Linked DNA regions of Canis lupus familiaris. The protein of the gene in region 5 purifies or fractionates together with the protein of the main gene of each other region. This does not show direct contact. Links are inferred from orthologs where the notes say so. Each region holds a gene or a part of one and is shown on either strand. Other genes may lie near its edges.

What was found.
Region 1: the proteins of POLR1D (region 5) and UXT purify together in Homo sapiens (affinity purification with mass spectrometry; 3 studies listed by BioGRID and IntAct, with this or other methods). This does not show direct contact. The link is inferred for Canis lupus familiaris from reciprocal best matches to the Homo sapiens genes POLR1D and UXT.
Region 2: the proteins of POLR1D (region 5) and POLR1F purify together in Homo sapiens (affinity purification with mass spectrometry; 3 studies listed by BioGRID and IntAct, counting the BioPlex papers as one, with this or other methods). This does not show direct contact. The link is inferred for Canis lupus familiaris from reciprocal best matches to the Homo sapiens genes POLR1D and POLR1F.
Region 3: the proteins of POLR1D (region 5) and POLR3E purify together in Homo sapiens (affinity purification with mass spectrometry; 3 studies listed by BioGRID and IntAct, with this or other methods). This does not show direct contact. The link is inferred for Canis lupus familiaris from reciprocal best matches to the Homo sapiens genes POLR1D and POLR3E.
Region 4: the proteins of POLR1D (region 5) and POLR3C purify together in Homo sapiens (affinity purification with mass spectrometry; 3 studies listed by BioGRID and IntAct, with this or other methods). This does not show direct contact. The link is inferred for Canis lupus familiaris from reciprocal best matches to the Homo sapiens genes POLR1D and POLR3C.
Region 6: the proteins of POLR1D (region 5) and POLR3D purify together in Homo sapiens (affinity purification with mass spectrometry; 6 studies listed by BioGRID and IntAct, counting the BioPlex papers as one, with this or other methods). This does not show direct contact. The link is inferred for Canis lupus familiaris from reciprocal best matches to the Homo sapiens genes POLR1D and POLR3D.
Region 7: the proteins of POLR1D (region 5) and POLR2L purify together in Homo sapiens (affinity purification with mass spectrometry; 4 studies listed by BioGRID and IntAct, with this or other methods). This does not show direct contact. The link is inferred for Canis lupus familiaris from reciprocal best matches to the Homo sapiens genes POLR1D and POLR2L.

Annotation. Positions count from the first base shown.
Region 1 is NC_049260.1:41,479,973-41,484,111, forward strand, and holds the start of UXT (protein UXT), read right to left. Parts: upstream 2,801-4,139; 5' UTR 2,641-2,800; intron 2,464-2,640; 5' UTR 2,455-2,463; coding exon 2,357-2,454; intron 1,375-2,356; coding exon 1,278-1,374; intron 1,153-1,277; coding exon 1,085-1,152; intron 808-1,084; coding exon 700-807; intron 1-699. UniProt on the Homo sapiens protein: Involved in gene transcription regulation. Acts in concert with the corepressor URI1 to regulate androgen receptor AR-mediated transcription. Together with URI1, associates with chromatin to the NKX3-1 promoter region.
Region 2 is NC_049235.1:33,898,179-33,901,678, forward strand, and holds part of POLR1F (DNA-directed RNA polymerase I subunit RPA43), read right to left. Parts: intron 2,626-3,500; coding exon 2,484-2,625; intron 1-2,483. UniProt on the Homo sapiens protein: Component of RNA polymerase I (Pol I), a DNA-dependent RNA polymerase which synthesizes ribosomal RNA precursors using the four ribonucleoside triphosphates as substrates.
Region 3 is NC_049227.1:23,570,138-23,573,637, forward strand, and holds part of POLR3E (DNA-directed RNA polymerase III subunit RPC5), read right to left. Parts: intron 3,433-3,500; coding exon 3,341-3,432; intron 2,409-3,340; coding exon 2,288-2,408; intron 1-2,287. UniProt on the Homo sapiens protein: DNA-dependent RNA polymerase catalyzes the transcription of DNA into RNA using the four ribonucleoside triphosphates as substrates.
Region 4 is NC_049238.1:59,294,372-59,297,871, reverse strand, and holds part of POLR3C (DNA-directed RNA polymerase III subunit RPC3), read right to left. Parts: intron 3,363-3,500; coding exon 3,107-3,362; intron 2,997-3,106; coding exon 2,811-2,996; intron 1,766-2,810; coding exon 1,677-1,765; intron 670-1,676; coding exon 565-669; intron 432-564; coding exon 339-431; intron 1-338. UniProt on the Homo sapiens protein: DNA-dependent RNA polymerase catalyzes the transcription of DNA into RNA using the four ribonucleoside triphosphates as substrates.
Region 5 is NC_049246.1:12,056,376-12,060,560, forward strand, and holds the start of POLR1D (protein POLR1D), read right to left. Parts: upstream 2,801-4,185; 5' UTR 2,703-2,800; coding exon 2,677-2,702; intron 1,723-2,676; coding exon of another isoform or gene 1,347-1,722; exon of another isoform or gene 1,146-1,346; intron 1-1,145. Other genes in the region: DNA-directed RNA polymerases I and III subunit RPAC2, read right to left, coding at 1,347-1,722, 2,677-2,702.
Region 6 is NC_049246.1:35,180,821-35,185,077, forward strand, and holds the start of POLR3D (DNA-directed RNA polymerase III subunit RPC4), read right to left. Parts: upstream 2,801-4,257; 5' UTR 2,651-2,800; intron 2,438-2,650; 5' UTR 2,433-2,437; coding exon 2,268-2,432; intron 1,326-2,267; coding exon 1,282-1,325; intron 327-1,281; coding exon 175-326; intron 16-174; coding exon 1-15. UniProt on the Homo sapiens protein: DNA-dependent RNA polymerase catalyzes the transcription of DNA into RNA using the four ribonucleoside triphosphates as substrates.
Region 7 is NC_049239.1:45,633,313-45,636,537, forward strand, and holds POLR2L (DNA-directed RNA polymerases I, II, and III subunit RPABC5), read right to left. Parts: upstream 1,750-3,225; 5' UTR 1,680-1,749; coding exon 1,585-1,679; intron 802-1,584; coding exon 693-801; 3' UTR 501-692; downstream 1-500. UniProt on the Homo sapiens protein: DNA-dependent RNA polymerase catalyzes the transcription of DNA into RNA using the four ribonucleoside triphosphates as substrates.

The DNA.
Region 1 (4,139 bases), on a different chromosome or scaffold from region 5:
CCTTCGGCCCAGGGCGCGATCCTGGAGTCCCGGGATCGAGTCTCGAGTCGGGCTCCTGCATGGAGCCTGCTTCTCTCTCCTCCTGTGTCTCTGCCTCTCTCTCTCTCTCTCTCTGTGTGTCTATCATGAATAAATAAATAAATCTTTAAAAAAACTATATAAAAAAAGACTTAAACTGAGTTAGGAAAAAGGAAGCTATGCATGTACCCAGGGAAAGCATGTTATAGGCAGAGAGCGCGGTTACCCTAAGATGGGATCACTCTGAGGGTGTTTCAAGAAGCCCAGGAAGATCAGTGTGGTGAGAGCACAGTGAAGGAGCAAGAAAATTAGGAGGAGGTGAAATCGGGAGGTAACTTGTTTTACTGATTTATAGGCCAAAACCTTCTGGATCTGGTCAAGATTAGGCCTTCAAGGAACCCTTCTGTCTTGTTCACTGTGGCCTCCCCACTGCCAAGTACAGAACCTGGCATAGAACAGCCAACAAATGTGTGTGTGAGTGAGCAATATCAAGACCATTTATGGAGTGCTTCCTATGTGCTATTCTTGGGGCTGAGCTTTGCATCTCTACTTTCCTCAGCCCTAGCCCTGGGGAGGAGGAGAAATGGGCCCTTAAGTATCTATCATCTCAGAGAGCCATGGGGAAAGGGAAAAGGATGTTGCAAATGGTGGTATTTTAGACACTTCATAGAATGGACTTACTCTGTGAGGAGATTGCTCTTACGATCAATGAACTTGAGAGCTTCTGCCAGTGTCAACTCCAGGAAAAAACCATATCCGAGCGCCACATAGATTCGTGAAGTGTCTGGGCTGAGGAAACAATGGTTAGAGGAAGTGGGGGAAGTCTTTATTACTGTTTAGCATACTATACAGTTTATTGGCAATTTTTTTTTACTCCACTCCTCCCACCTTCCCCAAATTAGAAGCTCTGAGAGGGCAGGGGTTTTGTCCTATTCGATTCACTGTCACATCCCCGGCACCTAGCACAGTGTCTGGTACATAGCAAATACTCAAAAAAAAATATTTGTTGCATGAAGGAAGGGGGAAGCTGAGCCCTGTGGGCTCAGAGGGGCAGGTAGACACTCACACAACTGTGTCAACGAAGAAGTTACAGCCCAAATCCACCTGCATATATAACTCCGAGGGGTTAGCTTCCTGTGGGGCCAGGGAAAAAGAGGTAGGGGTCAGTGGTCACCTTTCAGGTCAGCTGACAGGTTTTGGTCTGGGGTCTCTCCTCCCATCCCCCTCCCTTGCCCAAACACATCAAAATGGTCCCTAACCTTGGCTGTTTTTACCTGAAGCCGCTCAATGACATTTCTCAGTTGAAGGTATTTGGCCAGCTGCTCATATACCTTGTCGCGATGGTCCAGCACTTTTCTGATGGGACAAGAGGAAAATGGTGACCAACAGGAAGCCCTGGACCTGTCAGAATACCTCATATTATGACTGAGACCCTCATGTCACCATGCCTTAAAGAAGCATTTTAGTGCAGAAGTTGATTTGAATTGTGAGTCAGACTGCTTGGGTTTGAATCTAGGCTCTCCTTTTTACTAGTTGTGTGACTTCAGCAAATTCTTTAGGACTCATTTTCTCTTTAGGAGTCAATTTCCCTATCTTTAAAAAAGGGACGACAAGTATTACCTCACAAAGTCATTAAGAGAACTGTTTACTACAAAGCACTTACAATAGCACCTAACCAAAAACTAAGCTCTATATATGTTTTAGCTCTTATTTATTAGTACTATTACCACATTCCGTCCAATCAGGATGTCCCATTCTCAAAAAAAAAAAAAAAAGTGTCCCATTCTCACCCTAGAAAAATCTTCCATCCCTTTCAGGATGTTCATTATCCTGCTTCTGAACACTCTACTTCCTGCTCAGATTAATAGTGATAGTAACAATTTTTCATACTCATAGAGCCCCTAGTATTCACATTAAATCCTTTACAAGGGGGGAACACATTAAAAACTCAAAACCACCCCATGAGGAAGGTTCCATGAACTTTCCCATTTCACAGATAAGAAAACTGAGGCACACAAAGTCGAGGCAGCGTACAACGTCTTCACACAGATGGCGAAGGGGCCAGGCCAAGGATTCGAACCTAAGAACTCCCGCTTTAGAATCTAGCTCCACGGCTAAGTGAGATGGGAGGCCAGACAGGCGCGGACACACCCTCTACAAGAACCGCCACATCCCAGCCCAGTAGCACCCCGGATGTCGCCCCTCCTCGCCGGATCGGCGCACGGGGCTGGACTCCAAATGCCTTTCCCACCAATCAGAAGGCTAGACCCTGACTTTGGACGCCCCGCCCCCCCACGTGGAACCTTCCACACGCCCGGCCCTCCACGCTGCCACTCACCGCAGGTCCTGCTGTAGCACGTCACAGATGAAGGCCTCATAGCGCAGCACTTTCTCCCCCGTGGCTTCCACCGCCCGCCGTTTAGGGGGCGTCGCCATGATGGGCTCCTAAGGAATGGGGAGCGGAGCACACCACGTTGACCACACAGTTTGGCCTCAGGCACAGTACATCTGCACCCCCTCGACAGCGGGAGTGGGCTCGTTCGGCTCCGGCCGGGGTTCCGCCTTCTGCCCCTCCCAACTCTGGGACTCTGCCACCCAGGGACACCCAAACGCGGCCCTCACCTTAGAGCCGCCGGCAATAAGAACGGTTGCTATAAACCGTGGCTTCCGGGTGGCGCGGGTGAATGACGTACCACAAGGGCGCGGGCCAACCGAATAGCCGGGTGGGAAAGGCGGTTCTGAAGGGCTGGAAAGGGGCGAAGCGGAGGAGAGGAGGGCGGGGCTTTAGGGAATCCACCGAGTGTACTCCCGGCCGCGCAGCGTGGGAACGGGGCAGCGCGGAGCCTGTGGGGACTGAGCGTGGCTCGCGGGGGCGGGCCTTAATGGGATTTGGCGGGTTCCTGGGGGAGGCGGGGCGCACAGGTGGCGAGAGAGAAGCGTGTAGTATTTAAAAGTCAGAGCTTCGGAAGCAGACGGGCAAGAATTGGTTATGGTTCTGGTTTGTAAAAAGGAGAGTACATCCCGGGAACTGTCGCCATGGATTTTGATTTTTCGCACGGGAGATTTGGGTTTGATTCCCAGTAATGGGAATGAATGTGAGCATTAAATTTTTTTTTTTAAACGGAGACAGATTCTCTGAAACTCAGCTTTGGTAACTCCAGTTTGCAACCTGCCATCCATAACTAGGATCCAAGCAGATATTGACAAAACACTATGTCTATTACCTCGTCTAATAGAGGCATCAGGTGGCGGGTCGCTGAAGTCCTCTGCTCAAGATCGGCTATTCTGTAGTTAGAAATGTTCCTGAGTCTTTATTTAAATGTATAAACTTTTATTTATTTGTATGCACTCAAGTTAATGAATTTATTTCCCATGTTACATTTTCAAATAATAGCATCATACCCAGCAAGTCTTGGCTGAGCCTGAAGGAGAACACAGATACCAAATCCCTCAAATGCTATGCCTGCCTATAGGGCCGAGAGCCCCCACTCATGCCAGTGATGTCTTCTCAGATACTTTGTGTGTTTTGTGTGTAAAGGCAAGTTTTTCTTTCAAATGCTCAAAACCTAAGCAAGTCAAGCTTTTCTTTGCCCTAAGAACAAGATGATTGGAAAGGACATGTAATTTTTTAAAATGTTTTTTTGTAAATCTTCAAATATTACATATAGTTAAAGTTACATTTCGTGTGATTGAAATAGACACCAGGTAGTTAGACAACTATTATTGAGTTAATCTATACCATTTTCCTATGGGGAAAAAAAGAGGTGTTATGTTTATTATCTTTATTTATATATTTTAAAGATTTTGTTTATTTATTCATGAGAGACAGAAAGGCAGAGACACAGGAAAAAGCAGGCTCCATGCAGGAAGCCCGATGTGGGACTCAATCCTGAGACTCTGGGATCATGCCCTGGGCTGAAGGCAGGCGCCAAACCGCTGAGCTACCCAGGGATCCCCCCATGTTTATTATCTTTAACACAAAACAACACAGAGTTCTGAAGAACTGAAGATAGGTCTGTGCAAATCTACTAACTTACATTTCATAAAGCATTTTTTACTTTTTAAAGAAAAGGTTCTATTTATTTATCTGAGAGAGAGAGCATACACGCACCATGGGAAGG
Region 2 (3,500 bases), on a different chromosome or scaffold from region 5:
TTCAGGAGGATGGAAGGAAGGTGAGGGGTGAATAGGTAAAATAGAGAATTCTGAGAGCAGTACCCAATTATTCTACAGGATACAGTAAAGGGAACACAGGACACAGGTCATTAAGTTGTACTTACATTCCCTGGGTTTTAGAATGTACAACAGGAAAAACTAATTCTAAACCCTAAAAATAATAATGTATCAATATCAGCTTAAGAACTGTAACAAATGTTATCACACTAATGCAAGATGTCAACAATAGGAGCAACTGTGTTTGTGTATGCTGGGGTGGAGAAGTGAACAGAGGTATTATTTTCTACTCATTTTTTCTGTAAATCTAAAACTGCTATAAAACAATAAAGCCTATCAATTAAGGAAATAATAGGAAAACGAACATCTTTTCAATACAGGGTTCTAGAACTACTGAATAACCATATGAATAAGAAAATATATCTCAAGGATCTACTTCATATTACACACAAAGATTAAAGACTTATCACAGATCTAAATAACAAAGCTAAAACTAAAAAATTCTAGAAGCTTATAAAAAGTATCTTCACAATCCAGCAGTAGGCAAGTTTCTTACGTAGGATCCCAAAAGCAACAACCAAAAAAATAAGACAAACTGATCATCAATATTAAAAACTTCTGTTTATGAAATGATACCATTAAAAAGAGACAAGTTTACCAACTGGAGTAAAATATTAACAAATGATCTGAAAAGGATCTGTAGGAAGGCTACAAACAGAACTACTATACTTCAATAATACAAAAACCCAATTAAAAATGAGTAAAGCACTTAAATAGGCCCCTTACTGAAACACATGAAAAAGAGCTCTAGAGAAATGCAAATTAAAACCGTGATGGGAAACTCGTATATGCCCATCAGTAAAATTAGAAGAGTGACAAAACCAAATGCTGGCAAGGATGCAAAGCAAGTTATAGTGCTGAATGGGAAATTTGCCTGTTTTTCATAAAGTTAAACACATCTACTCTGTGACCTAGCATTCCACTTTTAGTTTTTACCTAGGAGAAATGAAAATGTACATTCACAGCTTTATTCATAATAGCTCCATAATGGAAACAGCCCAAATGTCTATCGATGAAGACAGGCAATTAAATTATACATTCATGCAACTGAATACGACGAACAACAAAAAGAAACCATTACAACAAACAGCATGCATGAAATGCAAAAAAAAAAAAAAAAAAAAAAAAAACATGTTGAGCAAAAGAGGTCAGATTTTCAAACACTGTATAATGAAAAATTCCATTAACATGAAATTTTAGAATAAACAAAACTACTTTCACAATAAATGTAATCAGAACAGTGGTTGTATTCTGGAATGGAGAGAGGACTGACCAGGAAAGGGCATAAGCATCTTTCTGAAATAGAACAGAATACATGCTCTCACCAGAATTTATTGAACTGTACACTATGATCTGTGCGTTCTGTTGTATGTAAATTAGATCTCATTTTATTGTATGTAAATTATACTTCATATTAAAAAAAACTGAACACACTGTCCAAATGTATTTGAAGACTGGATCTTATTGTAGGGAATAGAGTAAAAGGATTGATTTCTTTTTTCATTTCATATTTTCTGTATAGTGTGGTACTTCCATGTATACATTTACAGTAACTTATACAAAAATTCCTACACTTAACTGTTACCAGCTTTAAGTACAAATCTATTGCCAACTTTAGAAGTATAGAGGCTGGTTGTAGGATCCCAGCTGGTCATGCCCAGGATGCTCTACCAGTTTAACTGATTCTGAAAAGCTTTTTTAAATTATTAATGCCTTACAGATTTGACAGTAAAATTTTACCTGTGTTTTTATTAGCAATAAAGGGTTAGTTAACAGTTCTTAAATGATTATGCAATTCCTACATAATTTTTTGTTAAAGGAAAAAATAGACACGTGTATATATATTCTTATGTATATATATATCAATGTATACATGCAGAACTGGTAGGAGAGGCTAGTGCAGAACATATGAGGATATACTTCAGCTTCTTTTGAAAAACTAAAAGACCTATCCCACAGGGCCTTTATCATATGGCGCGTTATGGGTGCTCTAACCTCATTCTTCATTCACTTTCATTACCTGCCTGGTCCTGCAACCATTTGAATTTTCAACTCCTATTTGATATAAAGGATTCGAACAGGGTAGTAGTATGAAGGAACTATTGTGTATAACTGAGAAATTATGAAATAAAATTTTTTTCTTACTGCCTAAGATCATTCTGATGCTATCCAAAGAAAAGAATAAATTCTATTAGACACATTATCTGCATACACATGTGAGTTTGAGAAGAATGGAATTTAAAAATTTACCAAGATTAAATGGACAGTAATTTTTTTTCTTTTAAAAATAATTTTCAGGAAACCACAACAGCAATCCATTTGCTTCCCAAATCTCTTAAGATTTTCCAAATTACATAATTATACAATTAGAGAAAGCATAAAAAAGTGTGTGTATAAATACATACCATAAGCTTTTTCCCTGGTTCAGGACAGAAAATAACAAAATCTGCTTCGATGTTAAGATGAATGTGTCCTTGATCATCATAAATATCTCCCAGTTCACCCACTACTTTGATGTTATCATATGCAATGGGGACACCTGAAAGGCTATTAGAAAAGAAAGAAATTTATTTTTATCTTCTTTTAAACTAGGCCATAATTATTAAATATTCAGAGTCCAAAAATTATATGCCTCTTAAATATACTCACGCATGCCAAAACACAATAGCATATGATTAATCCATAACAACTTGAGTAATTCAATTTCACCAAAAGGTTCCAATATATTGACTAAATAAAAGACTGTTCAAGACAGGTACCCAGAAACAAAATGTCCAATTATACATGAGCAGTAGGTTGACCTATTAGAATTCTAGTCATGCTAGAATGTGGGGGTGGGGGTGGGGGGGAGACTTGAATGAAAAATGTCTCTGAGTATAACCAAATCAAGACAATTTTGGTATTATCTACCATTACTGAATTTCTGTACTGGATGGCCTATAGTAAGAGAATTACCAGAATCACAGGTCAAGCCCCTGAATATTAAAGCCAATGACTTAGAGAAAAATCCTCAAACTCCATCTGTATGTAACAAATAGTAATGTTAATAAATGAAATATATAGTTATAATTATTAAGAACCCATTTTGCCACTTTAGTCTACATAGGGGACAGGATTAGGGAGCAACTACTATTTGAAAATGTCATTTCCAAGTACTTAACAAATTTTAACTACTAAGGAGGCAGACCTGGTGGCTTCACTACCACACCTACTACTTGATCAAGAAAACGTCCTAGACTCAGCAAGGCAAGGATGAAATCACTCCTCCTCCACTCTTAGAAGATTCCATGGCACAGCATCATCACTGAACTTAATCTCATTTTATGAACTATCTGCAAATATGTTTGCATTCCACACACTACTAGAGTAGTGGCCCTTCAGAGCCCAGCACATTTTTGTTGAACTCTACTAAATTTCTAAAA
Region 3 (3,500 bases), on a different chromosome or scaffold from region 5:
GTCGAGCTCTGTGTCCACTCCCATCCCAGAAACACTCTTTGGGGACAGGGACATGGCTTATGTTGCTCATCACTGCCACACAGAGAAGGGAGCTGCTAGGTAGGTACTGAACAAATGGATAAACGTGGTGCGTGCCCTGGGCTCATCTGTAATGGTGCCCATCTCTGCCCCACACAATTCCCAAGGGCAGGGACAGTGTAGGAATGACAGTGGAGCACAGGACACAGAACAAGCAATCACGACATAGTTCGTGAACAATGTGTAAATTTTGCATCACCTCCACACAGAAACAGAAGGGACACGGCAAGAAAGGGGCGCCACCCACAGGCCACAGCATGGCAGTGAGGGCTTGCAGCAGGAGCCGAAGAACCGGGGAGCCAGAAAACACACAGCCCCAGAGGCCCCATGTCCAGGTTACAGGGATGGACCCCAGGCTGAAAGGGCAGAAGCACCAGGGCCACAGGCACTGCTGGGCCAAGAGCTCAAACCCCAGCTCCGGGACCACCTTGCTGCCAGATGTTTGGCAAGTGTCTGCCTCTCTGGGTCAGTGTCCTTGAGTGAGGGGACGGCCCCTCCTGGCTCTCACCCATTCGTAACGTAAATATACCTGGGTGGTCCCACTTAATGAGGGATGTGCCATCCAACATCCAAAGACCTTCCATAATCAAACACGTGTGTGGCACAACAGCTCCAACTACTGACAGACACTGGACAAGTTTACCAGTGCAAGGGCGCCACCAGGTGGCAGTAACGTGAACAGACTCTACAATTCACTTGGCCAACCAGCTGAAATGACAGGAGCTTCTGCAAGGAGTTAAAAAATTTGGAACAAATTTTTAAAGAGATTGTTCACCTTACACCACACCTTCTAAAAAGTGAGCCCTTACTAGTGTACCTAATGTCACACTATTTAAAATAAATATAATTCAGGGCACCCCCAGTGACTCAGCGGTTTAGCGCCGCCTTCGGCCTGGGGTGTGATCCTGGAGACCCGGGATTAAGTCTCACGTTGGGTTCCCTGCATAGAGCCTGCTTCTCCCTCTACCTGTGTCTCTGCCTCTCTCTCTCTCTGTCTGTCATGAATACACAAATATTTTTTAAAAAATAAAAATAAAAACATAATTCAGACATACATGAAATGCACCTACACTTACTACCAAGGGTCTGAGATATGCTAAGCATTATACTGAGTGTCAGGGACACAAGGTAGGGGTCAAAATAGAAGTCCCTACTACCCCCATCCCTCTTGAAAATAATGGTCTGGTGGAAGGGTCACAGAAGAGAAACTACTGAAAGGCATCAAGCCACATGCTCCAAACCCCACGGGACACATGAAACAAAACTCACACTCAGATGCATCTTAATGAACTGTGGAAAGCCACAATAAGAGAAAATCTCAGAAAGAGCCAGAGGGGACCAAGGGACTCATCACTAGAAACAATGGGAATGAGAACACAATGAAACTATGTCAGTGTGTGGAAGGGAAACCATCAACCTCGAATCCTACACTCAAGAAAAATATCTTTTAACAATAAAGGTGAAGGGCAGCCACAGTGGCTCAGCGGTTTAGCACCAGGGCGTGATCCTGGAGACCTGGGATCGAGTCCCATATTGGGCTCCCTGCATGGAGCCTGCTTCTCCCTCTGCCTGTGTCTCTGCCTCTCTCTCGGTCTCTCATGAATAAATAAATAAAATCTTAAAACAAACAATCAATAAAGGTGGAATAGATATTTGCAACCAAACAATACCCAAGTAACTCCTCCCCCCTGCAGATCTTCTTTAAGGGAACACCCCGGCAATTTTTGGCAGGAGGTAATTATCCCAGATAGAAACTCAGATGCAGAAAGGGATGATAAGCAAAATCAAAAAGAAAATATGTGAAATCTGAAGAACACTGACTGGATAAAATAACATCTTGTGGATTTTAAACTACAATTAAAAATATAGAAATAAAAAAATAGAAATACAATGGCACATGAGTTGAGAGGAAGATAAACAGAAAGCATTCTAAGGTCTCTGAATTGTACTGGATAAGAATAAAATACAGCCATTAATATAACTATGATCAGTTATGAATGCACTCTGAATCTGTAGGCTACTCACTAAAAGAACCCAGAAAGGGTAACTTCTAAATTAGCAGGGAGAAATGGAGTAACAAAAAAGGATCAAGTAGCAGGTAAGAATGGATATAAAATGCAGGACAACCAGTGCTATGGTAGACTTAAACCCAAAACATCAGTAATCACGAACTGAAATGCATCAGATGGTCCCATGCAGAGGAACTCACCTCTTCACCACCCAGTTTCCCTGGACCAGCATCGCCACCTTCTGGATGCCACGCAGAACAGCCACAGAGTCGATGGAGGGGCCTAGGAGGCTCATCAAGTTGGCAAAAGGCATGACCTTCACTGAGGAGGACACAGATGTCAGACAAGCGAAGGGGCCCTTCCTTCTCCCTCACCAAGTCTATACAGCTTCAGGCTCATGTAACCACTCCAGCGTGTGAATAACACTGACACATGGGTAATAATAAGAGCTGACTTCACTGGCTGCTTGTGTGGGCACCCCACCTTACTGAATTCTGGAGGAAACACCCCAAGGGGTGCTCCTTAAAGGTAAGACTACTACGGGGTGCCTGGCTCAGCTGGTAAAGTCGTGACTCTTGATCTCAGGGTCATGAGTTCAAGTCCCATGTTTGGTGTGGAGTGTACTCAGAAAAAAAAAAAGGTAAGACCATGACTCCTGGGGCCCAAAAAGGGCCCGGGGAAGGCCTGTTGGCAGCGAGGGCAGTGGCCTGGCACCCCAGCAGCCCCAGGCAGAGCTGGGAGCTCGCCTCTGCTCAGGCACCTGGAGATCCTAGAAGTGGTATCTCAGGAAAGGAGCCCAGGGCCTGGGATTAAGCTCTGAGGTTCAGGACTCACCCTACCCTACAGGTTCTGGCCCCCAAGTCCTCTGAAAGACACCAGTCCCTACTGGGTGCAGCCTGGTGCAGGTACCACAAAACAGTGCAAGGGAACGAATGGAGCTCATGTTCACGTGCAAGGCTCTGTAGAAGCCATGAAGAAGCCTCATCTCCGCCCTCAGGAGCTATCCTAGTTCCCTAGTCTCGGGAACATCAGTGGCCTGCCCAGGCTCACAGCAGGGCAGTGGCCCAGCCAGAACGAGAACAGGAATCAGAGCCTGCTGAGGGAGCCCAACAGGCCACTGTGGTGCATTCCTTCTAGGCAAGGCCAGAGCCGTCAAGCCAGGCCCATGCTGAGTCCTTAGTCTGTCCTAGAGTCCATTTCCCCAGGAGGTGGTAGGGCTGGGTTCCCCCTGGAGGAAGTGGGTGTCCACCCACCATTCTTCATCAAGATCTTGATCTGATCAGCCAGGGGCAAGGTGCGCAGCTGGGCCATGGACAGGACGTTGCTGGGGGCCACGGGTTTGTCTCTGGTGAAAACAGAGACAGTGGGTTAGAGGAGAGGGTAAGAGGAAAGATTTGGGGTGGGGAGGGTGGC
Region 4 (3,500 bases), on a different chromosome or scaffold from region 5:
AAATTTAAGATACATAAAACTAGTATACTGAACAAAAGCAATACAAGAAGCCAAATGATGTTCTGAGTACCAACAAAGGTTCTCAGATTCCAGATAGTGGATTCTTAGAACAACTGGGAATAGCTGTACTTTGGCTAGGAGAATGGTTTAGGTTTTTTAAGGATGGATCCCCAGAGACCAATATTTCAGTACCTAACACTTGAAGAGAATCCCTGTCCCACCTCAAACAATAAAAACTCTTTCAAAGGCTCAGATCTCAACCTAATCCCAGGCTCTGTGTATAAGAATCATCACATCCGCAGTCTGTTAGAAAAGTAGTACAAGAACATGAAGATCACCTCATTGGAAGACAACGGCTGGGTGAAGGGGGCAGTAGAGGGAGTAGTAATCTCACTCATCCGAAGCATAGTCCGCACGATCTCACTGCTGGTCTGGGTTTGAAAAGTGAACTACAATTCAGAATTCACTCCACTGTGCTGACTCTGGCTATATGCCAATGGCTACATCTGGCAAATAAGTGAATGCTCCTGATTTGGGACACCGTCCCACCCACTTAGATACCACCTGGTCCATCCTGTTGGCAACTGCACTGACAATGGCTTGGTCACGGAAGTGCTGATGGAATCTGTCAAGGTTGGCCTGCCAATAAATCCCATCATCTGGAATGGGCTGAGGAGGAGAAAAGGATTAGAGAGAAACATTTAGATACCGTGAATATGGGGAAGAGTTTTCTGGCGAGGAGCTTGGATTTAACTGTTCACTATTTTTTTTCCTATTCAGTAGCAACCACGTGGGGTGGAAAAAAAAAAATCATTCAATCATGTGGATCAGGGCCTTGATGACACAAATTTACAATACCCAATTCAGATTCTCTAAACTCACCTCTATTTATTTATTCATTCATTCATTCATTCATTCATTCATTCATGAGAGACACAGAGAGAGAGGCAGAGACGTAGACAGAGGGAGAAGCAGGCTCCATGCAGGGAGCCTGATGCAGGACTCAATCCCAGAACTCCAGAATCATGCCCTGAGCCAAAGGCAGCCGCTCAACCACTGAGCCACCCAGGCATCCCTTAAACTCACCTCTGAATTTACCTAATCTTTCTCTATCTGAACTCTTCTCCAGTATCCTTAAATTTTCTATTTACCCCTCTCTTCCCACTCTCAGCACATGACCTTGCCTCTTATTTCAGAGAGAAAACAGAAGGCCCTTTTTTGGCATAAGATCTGACCTCTGTTTAATGATGAAGCCTCAGAAAGGAGAAAGTAATGGAGTTTACACTTTGTTAGTTCATTCTTGGTCAATATTGAATGAAGTTCATAATCCTACTAATCCTACTACTTTTTTTTTTTTATAAATCTTTTTTTTTAAATGTTTATTTATTTATTTATGATAGTCACACACAGAGAGAGAGAGAGAGAGAAAGAGAGAGAGAGGCAGAGACATAGGCAGAGGGAAAAGCAGGCTCCATGCACCCGGAGCCCGACGTGGGATTGGATCCCGGGTCTCCAGGATCACGCCGTGGGCCAAAGGCAGGTGCTAAACCGCTGTGCTACCCAGGGATCCCTAATCCTACTACTTCTCAATCAAGGACCTTGTAAATCTCTTGGGGCCTGTTACCTTTGTTATCTTTCTGCCTTGCCTTAGGGTGAGGACCCCTAAGCCCCATTACCTCTTTGTTATCTGTGTTGTGTTTTGGTCTCTTGGCCTTGGGCTCCCCAGCAGCATCTTCATCAGATGATCTTCTCCTTTTACCTTTCCCTGATAAATAAAACAGGCAAACAGTTATGCTACATCTCATATGAAGACAGGAAATCACTGAATCTGAGAGCAGGTTTCCCTCTATCCCAAGACATCTCCAGCTGCCTCTAGGTTAAAGTGGCTGGGGAGGCTGAGGAGCTCCAAGAAATTCGAAGTAATGATGAAGTCATTTGAAGCTCAACATATTCAAAAAAGAAAGTTCTAATCTTTCTACCTCAAACTGTTCCTGTTCCAAACGCTTCCTTTCAGTGAGTAGGACCATTCATCCTCCCCCCACATGCAAGTCAGACACACAAATGTCATTTAGTACTTCTGTCTCCTTTACCCTTTCTGTATCTAATTTTTCACTGGGTTTGTCTACATTTTACCTTTGCCCTATCCTATCTACAAGCAGGAAAATCTTTTAAAAATGCAAATTAGATCATGTCACTTCCTTTAAATCCTTTAGTAGTTTTCCTTTGCTCTTAGGATAAAGAACAGATGCTGTCTGTATAACGTCTTGTATGATCTAGCCCCTATCTTTCTATCCTCATCTCATGGCTCTCTTTGCTCACCATGCCTTAATTACACTGACCCATCTTTTACTTCCTCAAATATCCTATTTTTTTCTCATTGTACACTATTCCTTTTGTAAAAATATTTATCCTCTGTACTCCTTCATACATTACCTCACTGGTTAGTTCCTGCTTCTGTTTCAAATCTTAGCTCAACTGCTACTTTCTCAGAGAAGCGTGTGCTCTAAATCCTGAAAAATTTGGTTCCCTGTTACATATTTTCATAACATCTCATACTTTTCATTCATAGTACTAATCAGTTTCTTAGTTATACATCTATCTGATTATTTGAGTAATGTAACTCAAGTCTTTTTTATATTAGTCTTAAGCCCCAAAAGGTCAGGGACTTGTTTTTTCATTTTACACCACAGTATCTGGCATAGAGTAAATATTTGGTAACTGCTTGATCGATTCATTCACTAATTTAACAATCTTTGAAGAAGAATCCACAACCAGGGCAAATCATAGTTTCAGGGGTCAAAATTCCTTACCGATCAAGCTCAGTTTTGGAACCAGGTACATGTCCTTTTCACTGATCACAAGAATGGGGGCAGGTGGCAGTGGCCCTGGGTCTGAATTCTCAGTGGCAGGCACCCAGGGGCAACGCTGTACAAAGTGTGTGTCTGCTAGTCGCACAAATGTGTTTGATACCTCAGCATAGTCCATGGTCTTGCCATCTGTACAACAGGATGAAAGTGGCAGATGAGATTGCCTAAGTTAGCTGAAGTTCCAGTCCTGCAGCCAGCCAATCTACGCTTTTGCTAACAGCTATGAGTACAGTACTAACCCTCCATAGTCTCTGTGAGCCGGTCTGCCACTTTCTTCACAACAGCTGACATTGTCATTTTGCCATTCAATAGCAGCTCCTCAACAATGAGTTCTCCGGTGTCACTGTACAGTGTTTTGGCAGTATAGATGTACCGGGGATACCTAAGCATTCGCAATACGCGGCTGCACTGGGCTTCATACTCCACTACACCACGTTTGTGCACTTGATATATCACCAGGTTATGTTGGATAAGCACACAGAGGGCTTTTTTTACCTAGATAGGACGCAAAAGAAAGAAAGAAAAGATCTGAAGTCATAGCTCATTTTTGTTGCCAATTTTTGTCTAATAATTTACTAAGAGCTGGCTAAGGATCTCTGTGCTTCTTCCCTCCCTCCATTTGGATAAGCTATT
Region 5 (4,185 bases):
CAAACATGTTGACTGAGTATAGGAAATGTAGTTTCTATGGCAGAATAGTAGAAAGAGGTCTGATTGGAGTGAATAAAAGGCTACGTGCCATAACTACCAACATGGATTTAGCCAGTATTTTCTAATTGCCTACTACCCATCAGGCATCGGGCTGCAAGTCAGTATAGTGGGTAGACAACATAAGCACTAACAACAGCATAGTAAATCCAAGACCATGAAACACAGGAGTAAAATGAAAGTACAGGCAAGTCCCCAAACCAGGGTGGGAGTCTTGACCTCTAAGTTCTCACCTACCCTAGAGTGTAGAAGAGTAAGGGTGTTCCAAGAATATGTACAGCAAAAACAAAGACCCCAAAGCACAGAGTGCTGGGAGTGAGGTGCTCAGGTCAAAGGTTAACGAGATTTAGGGTGAATTAAGAGACAAGTTGATGTAGGACAGCTAGCAGACAAGGCTGATGAGATTAACAGGACACCTTGAAGAGGTTCACTAGTATTTTAAGGTAAAAAAAAAAAAAAAAAATCACTTTCCCAACTTGGAAATTTTTCTCTTCATCCTTATTGTAACCCTGGGCTATATACTTAGATACGCACCTAAGGACTGAAGATGTTCCCTGATCATCCCAGTTTTCTTCTTTTACAGTATAAACTCTCGACCTACTCAGGTCATTTCTGACAAAATATTTTATTAGTGTCCTGAAATTAAAGCAGTAAACTGGCATCCATCCTATATATGCAACCACAAAGGTAGAACTAGATCCTAACTCTCCTGTGAATCCAAAATTCTCACAATTCTTTCAAATTATTCCCCACGCTTGAACCCAGCAGTCATAGTAAAAGATGCAAATTCTCTCATGAATTACTAAAAAATATCTAGCAAGAAGCTAAATCCTCCTCCCACTTCCACCTTTCTTTTTTAAACCCACCACAGTCTGTGCTCACGCTCTATTGCATCTCTCCTCCTTCCCCAATCATAGCCACAAGTGCACATTCTTTTGAATTCTCTTGATCAAAGTCTTTGTCTAGGTCTCTAATATTCTCCTAGCTTCCTTACGTTCACTGTTGGCTCAATTAAAAGAAAAAAAAACAAACCAAAAAACCCCCTAAAACAGTCAATCTACCAGATGAAGCAACAGAAACCACTCAAATTAGTTTAAATAAAAGAGGGAATTTATTAGATGAGTACAAAGGTTCTTGCAGGGATTCCAGCAGCTGTAATGGGTAATAGCTAGAAGCACGCCTTTGTGAAGGGCAGATGGAGTTGTAATCACAAACTTCTACTTCTGGTTTTGCAAGATCACGAAGAGAATATCCTAGAGGATAGTCCTCCCCGTATAGTGCATAAGGGACTAGAATGTGGATTCATTTCTGCTTGCTTTTTGATCCTTATATTCCTTTATGCTGGCCTCAAACTTGTCAAGCACATGTTGGCAGACATTCATGAGCTCATTCAAGCCTCTCTGAAATGGCTCAACAGCTGGAAGAGCACCTCGAGTCTGAATGCGTAAATTAATTTTGCTCTCTGAAGGATGGGTTGTAGTGTAACCACAAAATTCCACTTCCGGGTTCTTCATGATCATGTAACGAAGAGAATTTCCTAGGGTATGGTCCTCTTCGTGCAATACAAATGTCACACAGTGTCTATCTGTTCCAGCTGCCTGGACCATTTCCAGGGCTGTCTTCCTCTCGCCTTCAGCCATTGAGGTCTTCAATCCAGATATTTTTCTACACACATATTTTTTATAAAAATGAGATCATACTGAATATGGTTTGGTAACTAGCTTTTTTTTCATTTACTATATCACAATCGCAACACATTACTGCACTCCAATTACACTCAACTATTTTGTATTAACCCCTCATTTTCCTGCCTCCACATATTCTATCAATAAACACTTAATTATTGCCTCCAGTTTCTCCCTACCCCATTTGACACCGTCCACATGGCCACGAGGGCACAAACGTAAATGTTAAATATTTAAAGCTAGAATTTTCTCTTGGTAGAGTCACAAGAAAGGAACAGGATTAGAGTAGGGTGGGCTCTGCTGGAGAATGAAAGGGTATTTAAAGGCACACAAAAACACATCTTTTCAAAAATAGAGACTGCAGATTATCACCGTGCAGGCCCCACTATGGTTTCCATCTGCAGGAGATAAACTAGAGAGGAAGTTCTGAGAAGTGTCAATCAAGCAGGAGGGAGACGAGGGCTGAGGGCACCCAGGAGCGCTTCATTAGCTGCCTACACAGAGCTCTAAGTTGGGCCGCAGTCACAGGGGCTTAGGCCTGGCTGGACGCCCCAACACGAGCACTCGGCGAACACTGGCCCGGGCGCGGCCTTCCGTTAGTTTTACTTAGTCCTGCTGTTCTCCCCGGGGTGGGCGGTGTGGGGACTTAACTCCGGCCTCGTAACTTGCGCTCCCTCCGGGCCGTCTAATTGTACGGGGCGCCTCTATCAGACACGTCCGTGCGTCCTCCCCTCCCTTCCCAGCAGGGGCCCTCTCCCGGCTCAGGCGCCCCCCTCCCTCTCCACCTCCCTCTCCTCCCGCGTCCTCCCGGCCGGGCCCCCGCTGCCCCCGCTGCCCCCGCTGCCGCCCCGGCCCCGCAGGCGGACGCCCCTCGGCTCCCCGCTCCCGGCGCAGGGCGCGGCCCGCTCCGCCCACCCGCCTCCTCGGCCGTTACCTCTCCAGCTCCTGGTCCTCTTCCATCGCGGGGACGGCTTCCGGGATCCTCAGGTGGTGCGGGCAGAGCGGAGGCGCTAAGCCATAGCGCGAGGCACGCGGGCGGAGCAGGAAGGAAGGAACGACGGACGGAAGGAGCCGGGGACGGAAGGAGGGAGGAGGAGCCGCAGCGGCGCGGCGCGGCGAGGCCCAGCCGCTGGGCGGGGCGTGTACGTTCCGCCCGCAGGCCCCGCCCACAGGCCCAGCTCCCCGCGCGGGGAGGGCGGCTGCGAGGCCCGGCCGGCTCACCTGGAGCTCCAGGGGCCAGTCCGCCCGCTGCCCTAGCGGGGACAGGGGGGCCGCCCTCCCGTCCCACCTCGAGGGCGAGACCCGCCTGTGGGCGCACCTTCGGCCAGGTGTTGGCGGAGGGGGCGGGGCCTTACCTGCCGCCCCAAGCCACCGTCCTTCTTAGGGCGGAATGGGGCCTCTTTCAGACTTGCTGCTTGACCCGTGGGGCAGGGTGTCACTCCCTGGCGGGACCCCAAGCCTGACGGGGGTGGGGGGGTGGTGTTCGGGGGGATGACAGGTGCAAACTACAGGTGATCAGTACACCTTGATGAATTTCACGACAGACGAGGATGAGTTGAAGGTTGTGTGTGTCATCCGGGATCTTGCAGCCGCACACCTCAAACGGGTCCAAAAAAGCCTTCGTTTCTATCTTTAGGGGGAGGAGCGAGAGTTTGGAAGGAAACTGCTCTTCTCCCCCTTGCTCCCCCGTGCTTTCCCTCAGGGTCTTCTCTGCACCTGGAATACGTACACCCTCTCTTGCTCCGGATTTCCTTTTCCTTTTCCCCTTTCGGTTCAAACCTCACCTGCGGAACCTCCCTCTCACCTTTGTTCCCAGGTGCCCCTGCCCGCGCCTCGGCAACCTTTCGCCACCCGCACCCGCTCCCCGCCCTTTTCCCTCCGTCCCCCCTCCTCCCTTCCTCCACCTCCTACCCCCGTCGCCCTTCTCAGCCCGGTCAGTCCCGGTCCCTCGCACCTTGCCCCAGAGTCCTCTCACCCCAGCACACCTATATTCCTGCTTTCCTCGCCACCTGTGCTCGTACCCACACCCCGGTTCCCCCAGATGGTCACTGCCTCCCCAGCTGTTCCACTCTGCTCGCGGCGGTCGGCGGTGAGCGCGGATGCACTTTCCGAGCGTGTCTCCAGCGGGGGGATCAGGCGGGCGGGGGCAGCCGAGACCGAGTGGGGGAGGGCGGGCGGCCAGGGGCGGAGTGGGCTCACTCTAACCCGGGAGTGACGGCCCCGGCCTGGCCCGCCCCCCGCGCGCTTCCATAGGCGGAGCCGCGCTCTGGCCCGCCCCCTGCCCGCCCTGCGCCGCAGCCGGTTGGCCCAGCTGCTTGTCGGGTTGGGCTGCTGGGCCCTGGCGCTCGCCCCCGGGAAGGCAGCAGGGGCGGTTGAGAAGTGAAGTCTTGGCCAGAGTTTGCTTCTTGCCAGGAAATCCGCGGTGGCGGCGGCGGCGGCGGCG
Region 6 (4,257 bases), about 23 Mb from region 5:
TCTTATCCCAGTTCCCTGTGGGAAATAACTCAGTTCACCAGGGGCATGGAAGAGGCCAACAGCAAGGAAAAGCACACAGGGAGCAGGGAAATTTTACTGCCCTTGCCCTTCTCTTGGGCAGTCTGGACTGAAATCTATGGATTTCTTCTTCCCGGAACCCCAGAAGCTTTGTACCCTTTTTCTTCATCATTTCAGCTGGGCCCTGCTCAAAGATGGAGTGGGACTGGATCACTTCTGGGCGGCCTCGGCCCCGTCCATGCCCGTCTCGCTGCCGGTCTCTATCCCTGTCACGCTTCTCTTTCTTGATGGCTACTTCTTCCTTGGGCCTGGAAAAGAGAATGGAGGAAGGGAAACCACTCACTCACTCTGCCTCAGAGAACTGGTCTTACTCTGACACACACTCTACTCTACCCGAGCAGAGAATCAAGAGCCAGTGACTGTATCTGAAGAAGCAGAACCCAATCCTAAGTCTAGCACCTTTTCTACTTCCTTGATGGGGCAGTTTCCTTTCAGTTCACTTTACTTATCTTCTTGCTTGAGAGTATATAACAGGACTACGACTCAAAAGTGGAATTACAGAGACTGCCCCTAAATGTGGACTTCTCAGTATTGCTTAAAAGCAAGAAGACTGTGATACAAAAGAATGTAAGTGAGAACTGAACACATTTTTGTCTAAACTAGTGTCTCTCAACTCCAGCCGTAAAGGATAATCACTCTCTTTCATCGCAAAAAAGTTAAATCACCATTTCCAGAGATGGACTTCCAGGCATCAGTATGTTTTTTAAAACTTGCACGTTACAATCACCTGGAAGCCAAGGTCAAAAATCACTAGTGAAAAAAAAATACACAAATTTAGATTTCTGAGCCACATACGTAGTTATTTCCCAAAAGACCCAAATTCAGAGCAATAGGGGAAATCTGTGTTATTTTTTTAAAAGATTTTATTTATTTATTCATAAGAGACAGAGAGAGAGAGAGAAGCAGAGGGAGAAGCAGACTCCATGCAGGGAGCCCGATGTGGGACTCAATCCTGGGTCTCCAGGATCACGCCCTGGGTGGAAGGCAGGTGCTAAACCGCTGAGCCACCCGGGCTTCCCTGTTTTATTATTTTAAAAGATTTTATTTATTTATTCATGAGAGACACAGAGACATAGGCAGAGGGAGAAGCAGGCTCCTGAGGACTGGATCCTAGGATCACGCCCTGAGCTGAAGGCAGATGCTCAACCACTGAGCCACCCAGGTGCCCCAAGGGGAAAGTTTTTAGAAGGCTGAGCTACTTACTCTTCCTTAATTTTCCGACTGATGATATTTGGGGTGAAGGTTTTCTGAAAATAAAATATGAGTCACTGATTTGTTAAGTTTCCCAAAGTACAGAGAAAAATGAAAACTCTCAAAAGGGATCTTGTATGGACCAAGACCACCATTCTACATTCCCTACTGTTATAATGGTTTACAGAGATAGGCATGTGCTTAAAAGGAATGAAGATCCTGTCATGATAGCAGTGGACTTACACACTGAACAGGGCACCAAAACCCCATTTTAGTTAGTGGCCTCAGCTTCTGCCCTCTGAAAGGAGAACCCTGAGCACTTCTACAATTTATTTATCTAATCTCACTTCTTGTCAAATCATTGAATATCACAGGAAAGAGCTCTAGCAGCAAGCCTCAAGTACAAAGTCCGCCTGCACCCACAAACAGACACAGCTAGACTGCCACCAGCATTTCCCAAGGCAAACAAGTCTTTGAAAACTAGCTGCTTTATGCTTCTGCTACATCACCACCACCAGCTGCCTCCCCTCCCCAATTTCGGGACGATCTTAACATCTACAGTGATAAACACGACGCAAAAGAACACTGAGCCTCCAAGGCCCTGCCTAGAATTCATTACACTAGATCACAGTTTGCCCACCATAATCCATGGCGGATACAGAACTCTCTAAAATTGAGGGCAAACTTTATGCCTGCTGGCTCTCAGGGGTTTCTTAAAGGTATCCCAAACACATTTTTAAAAAGTAAATAAACATTGCCCAAGTTGCCTGGGAAGTAATTAGGATTCTCTGCCCTTCAGCCGTTTCTGAGAACCACGTCAAGGTCCTGCGCCCGGTGTCTAGACTCCCTAGAATCTGTCAGCAGAAGTCTGGGGACGGGGTTTCCCTGGGCCCAACACAGAGCCTGGCACGCGGCGGGCCCTACGCGAGCGTCAGGTGAACCCCAGGGTCCTGGGACTCGAGGTAGCAGGGTTTCTTCAGCAAGGCGCCGTCGGGTACCTTCTTGACTCCCCCGAGGGTGAGGTCCCTGGAGCGGATGGAGGGAAGGCGACCCGGAGTGAGGGGAGGCGCCGGCCGCCGCCCAACAAGCCCCCGGCCCCCAGAGAGGAGGGGGCGGGGGCCTCCCGGGGCGCTCGGCTCGCCCGCAGCGTTTCCTTGCGACATTTTGCCTGGGAGAAAAGGAGGAAAGGGGCAAAACAGAGTCACTCGAGGGGGCGGACACACGGACCCGGGGCGGAACCCCACCCACGTGGCCTCCCCTAGTCCCGGCGTCCCTCCCTCTCCACGTGGCAAGGCTCCCCGGACCACCCAGGTGGAGCGCCTGGCTCGCCCTCCGCCCAGGCTCCCGGCCAGGCACGAGGCAGAGGCGCACCCCAGCGTACCCGGGCGGCGGCTCCGCACCACGCGCGTCCCGACTTCACCTCCGACGCGGCCCGCACACCGCCCCGGGTCTCTGCGCCGGGCGGAAGTCTGCGTGGCAGGGCCCGGGCGCCGCCATCTTGCCGCGGGCCGGAAGTGAGGTCAGGGGGCGGGGCCGGGCCACAGTATTTATCCGGCGGCGCCTCGCTCCCCTCCGCCTTCTCTTCCCGGTTCTTCCCGGAGTCGGGAAAAGCTGGGTTGAGAGGGCGAAAAAGGAAGAGGGGTCTGGTCTGGGTTACGCTGTGGTGCCGCGCTTTGGGGGCTTGGCCCGGGCGGAGGGGGCAGCGGCGCTCAGCTCGGAGCCCGGGGTGGGGCCTCGGCGGCCGCCACGACCCAACCTGGGGATTCGCCGTGGCGGAGCTTCTGGGAGCAGTGGGGTCGCGGCTCGGGACGGGGCGCGGGGCGCGGGGCCGGGAGCGAGACCCGGGCGCGGGGCTGGGGCGCCCCGGGCCCGGCCGAGCCGCGGCTGTGGGCTCGATGGTGACCTTGGAGTGGTCACTGTCCTCTGGGCTGCGGCCTCGCCCTCGCTCGGGGGTCCTTTGCCCGGACTCCTGGTAGGGTCCCGAGGTGGGGCTGCGGGCGCTGCGCCAGGGCAGCTGCGCGGGCTACCTGGGTGCCTAAGTGCACCCAGCGTGCTAACTGCAGCACGCACCCGGCTCTGGACTGCCGACCCTTGTGTGCACTCTCGTTCCAAGCCCCGAATTGAAAAATGAAGTTTGCTCCGACTGGGAGGGACGAATTTAAAGAACTTTTATGGTGACTCCGACATTAACATTTAAAAAAAAAAAGCCTTTTTACTGTTCTCTCCACCCCCAAACCATGCAAAATAAATAAATAAATTAATTAATTAATTAATTAATCCCACGTAACATTGCAGAGAGTTTGAGGGAAGGAAAAACAATTCTGCTACAATTCCACGTAGAATACTACCATTGAAACTTTTGTAATATATTGCAATCCCCTTGTAGAGCTGTCCTATTGTACCACAATTTTGAAGCCCTTTTGAAATAACATTTCTTTGTTGCCGCATCAAATGAGTAATAATTCTTGGTGGCTGTGTCATGATTTGCCTATTTTCCTGTTTGGACACTTAGATTCACCACCCCCACCCCCACCCCCACCCCCGCTGTTGTAAATAACGCTACAGTGAACATCTGGTGCATTTAACCTTTTTTTCTTCTTTTGGAATCTATCCCTAGGACAACTTTTCAGACTCGTGATAACTGGCCAAAAGAAGTTGTACTTTCTTTTTGAAGTAAAGTTTTTGAGGTAGTAGATACACATGCAGAGTTTTTTTTTTGCTTTTGTTTTTGTTTTTTGTTTTGATTGATTGATGTTTAGAGCAAGACAAAGAGAATCCCAAGCAGACTCTGCACTGAGCATTGACCCTACCCAGAGCTTGATCTCATGACTCTGAGATCATGACCTGAGCAGAAATCAAGAGTTAGATGCTTAACAAACTGAGCCACCCAGGTGCCCCAGATACACATGCAGTTTTAAGAAATAATACAGAGATCTCAAGTTTTCTCCAATAGAAACATATCCTAAAACTATAGTACAATATCACAAC
Region 7 (3,225 bases), on a different chromosome or scaffold from region 5:
TTAAGTGCTAATACCCAGGCCACCGGGAGCTTGGCAAACCCTGACACCCAGCAGAGCCTCCTCAGGGCCACCCTCAACCCACTGTGCGGGTCTCAGTGCTGGCTATGGAGGCTGGGCACCATCCCTGCCCCTCCACAGGAACTTGGCTGGAGCCTAGAAGCTTCTGGCAGCAAGATCTCAGGATGGGCAGCCGAGACTGCAGCAGTTATTCCACTCAGGGCTCAAATATCTGGTTGTTGAGATCCTGGGAAGGGATGTGAGGATCTCCGTGCTTGTCCTAAAGGTCAACCAGAACCTGGTGGTGGGCAGGCCAATGTCTCCTGACCCTCAACCTGAGTGCTCTTGGCTGTCTGTGTACTGTCACTGGGCTGTGAGATGCCCTCCACCACCCCCGCCACCTCTGGGCCCTGAACGGTGAGAGCCACGTCTATCCCCAAACAGCTTCAAGCATGAGGCAGGACACAGAAACACCAGGGAGTCCCACAAAGCCAGGCCAACTGTTAGGACCTCTTCATGGTTCTGCAAAGACCTTTAATGGACAGTTCTTTCCAGAGCAGGGACACACATCCACAGGTGGTGGACAGGCATGCTCCATGCCACCCCGACCACACTGGAGTGCCTGGGGGCACGGCGCAGACGGCCCCTGGTGAGCACAGCGGGTGACCGGGTGACGGGCGTGAGCAGGTCACTTGTCACTTCTCCAGAGGCGCGTAGTTGAGCAGCTTCTCAATCAGGTCCACGTGTGCCAGCAGCATGCGGCGGCAGCAGTAGCGCTTCAGGCCCAGCGCATCCAGGGCATCTCTGTGGGTGAGGGGCAGATCACACCCGGTTGGGGCAGGCAGTCCTGGGCACACGGAGGACCCGAACCCTGCTGGAGCAAGCCCCCCCTCCCCGCCCCCGCGGAGGGAGCCGTCTCTCTGCCGTTTCCCAAGCCGATTAGAGTTGTCAGTGTCCCTGGGGCCCAGCCCCTGTTGCCCCAAGGGCTTCCAGAAAATCCCCAGAGCACTGCTCCGACGTGCAGCGCCGCCGAGCTGGGAAGCCGCAGGGCTGGGCGGTTCCTGCCCGGGGCTTCCAGGGCCTCCGGCCGGTTCCCTCACACTCGGTCTTTCCGACAGACTCCCCAGCAACCTGGCCTCCCCGCTCACCCCAAACGCCGCAGGCCGGGGTTAAAGGTGCAGACGCCCGCGAGGCCGGTGCTGACGCCCGCGCTGACGGGCAGCGACGGGAGAGCGGCCCCGGGACGGCCCGCTCCGCAGGGCTCCGTGGCCAGGAAGCCCGGCCCACGACCCCAGAGCCGCGGGCTCGCGGGCGCGGGGGCCTCCGAGGGCGGGAGGGCAGGGAGCCCCGAACTGCTCCGGGCAGGAGCCACGACCTGCCGGGGTCCGTGTGCAAGTCCCCGCGGTCCCGCAGTCCCGCTGCCCGCCTGCCCCCTTGCTCGCGGCCGGCACCTGGTCCCTCCGGGGCCCCCCGCGCCCCGCGCCCCGCCCCCCGCGCCCCGGCCCGACCCGCCGGCCCCGCGCCCAGCAGGGCCCCCCCCGCCCCCCGCGGCCCCGGCTCCGCACGCCGCCCGGCCCGGAGCCTCACCCCTCGGTGTACTCGGCCTGCAGCAGCCCCAGGTAGGCTTCCCACTTGTTGCCGACGATCTTGCCGCAGGTGAAGCAGCGGACCGGGATGATCATGGCGCTGGCGGCGGCGGCGGCGGCGGCGCGGGGACTGGCAGACGGGGCGGCGCTTCCGCCCGGGAGCAGGCCCCGCCGAGGGCGCGTCCATGGCGCGGGGGGGAGAAGTCCCAGTCCCGCCACGCCCCCGGCCGCCCCCGGCCCGCCCCCCGGCCCCACTGCCGCCGCCGTCCGTTCCCTGCCGGGCCGAGCTCCTTCCGCGCGGACCGGGGGCTCCGGGGCCCACGCGGCCGCTACCGGAGCAAGCGTCGCCCCCCCCCCGGCCCTTCGCCTTGGTACGTCCCGGCCTACGGCGGCCTAGCGGGACCGAAAGGGCCCGACGGCGGCGCTTCGCCTTCCTCGTGTCCGCATGACTGACAGCTGCGCGGCGGGCGGACCGCGCGCAGGTACAGAGCCGGTCCGCGGGGATGCGGCCGAGGTCCCGCCCCTCGGAACCCCCGACCGGGACCCGGACCCGAGCCGGGGCCGAGCCGAGCGGGCGCAGAGTTGGAGCCCCGAGCCGAGCCGCAGCAACAAGTGGCGGGGCCGGGCCGGGGCCGGGGGCGCGGGGACCCGCGGCGGGGGGCGGGGGCAGGGGGGCCCCGGAGGGACCTTCCCGCGGCCCCTCCCGGCCCGGCGCGGCGAAGGCTGTCCCCGCCCCGGCCCGGCCCGCTCGGCCGCACTGTAGCCCCGACGGCCGGCTCGGCCGCAGCTCCTGCCCCCCCAGCGCCCCAGCCTGCCCTCTGCGGCCCTGGGGGAAGGGCCTGGGGGTGCGGGCGGTCGGGGCTCTGAGGACTCAGAGCAGGGCGGAGGCTGGAGCGGGTGGTCCTGGAGGGCGGCGTGGAAGAGGCGCCCTGCAGAGCCCGCGTGTGTCGGGGAGCGCATTGATCCTGGCCGGGGGACCCCTTGGATAGGGCCCTGGAGGCCATACCTGCGGGCAGCTCTAGGCCGCGGGTTCGTGCCAGGGCTGGAGTAGGTGGTGGAGTCAGAGATGGTGGGGCAGCAGCCACAGAGGGTGGAAGGGACGATGAGGCTGTGTCCCTGGGGGCGGGGTGAGGTGAGCTCCTCGATCCGGGGGCCACGGGGGGGGGGTGTGTGCAGATCTGTGTGGGGGGAGGCAGGGAGGGCTCCCTGGAGGAGGCAGACTTTGGGGCTGTGGGGATGGATGTGTTCCAGAGCAGCGCCTGCGGGGGGGGGGGGGGGGGCGGGTGTCAGCTAGTCAGGTGGGCTGGGCATGAGTGGGGCCTGTACTCCCCACCCTCCCACGGTGGGTGGTGGATTCTGGCCTCAGCTTCAGGGAGGGAGCCTGAGGGTCCCCTGGGGCCTGGGAGGCGCTGGCCACCTCTGCCTGGGCCCTGGACAGCCTGCCCAGTGCATTTGTCATCCTCCACGCTGCCACGTGCAGAGCCACGAGAGAGGCCACTTCCCTTCCCAGCTGCCCCCCCACCCCACCCACTGGACGCACATCCTGTGCCTGGACAAGAGGGACAGGAGAGGGGGCCTGGAGTCACGGTGGCCTGGGGTCAGACCCAGGCTCCCCTGCAGAGACTATTGGCAACTGTGCAGG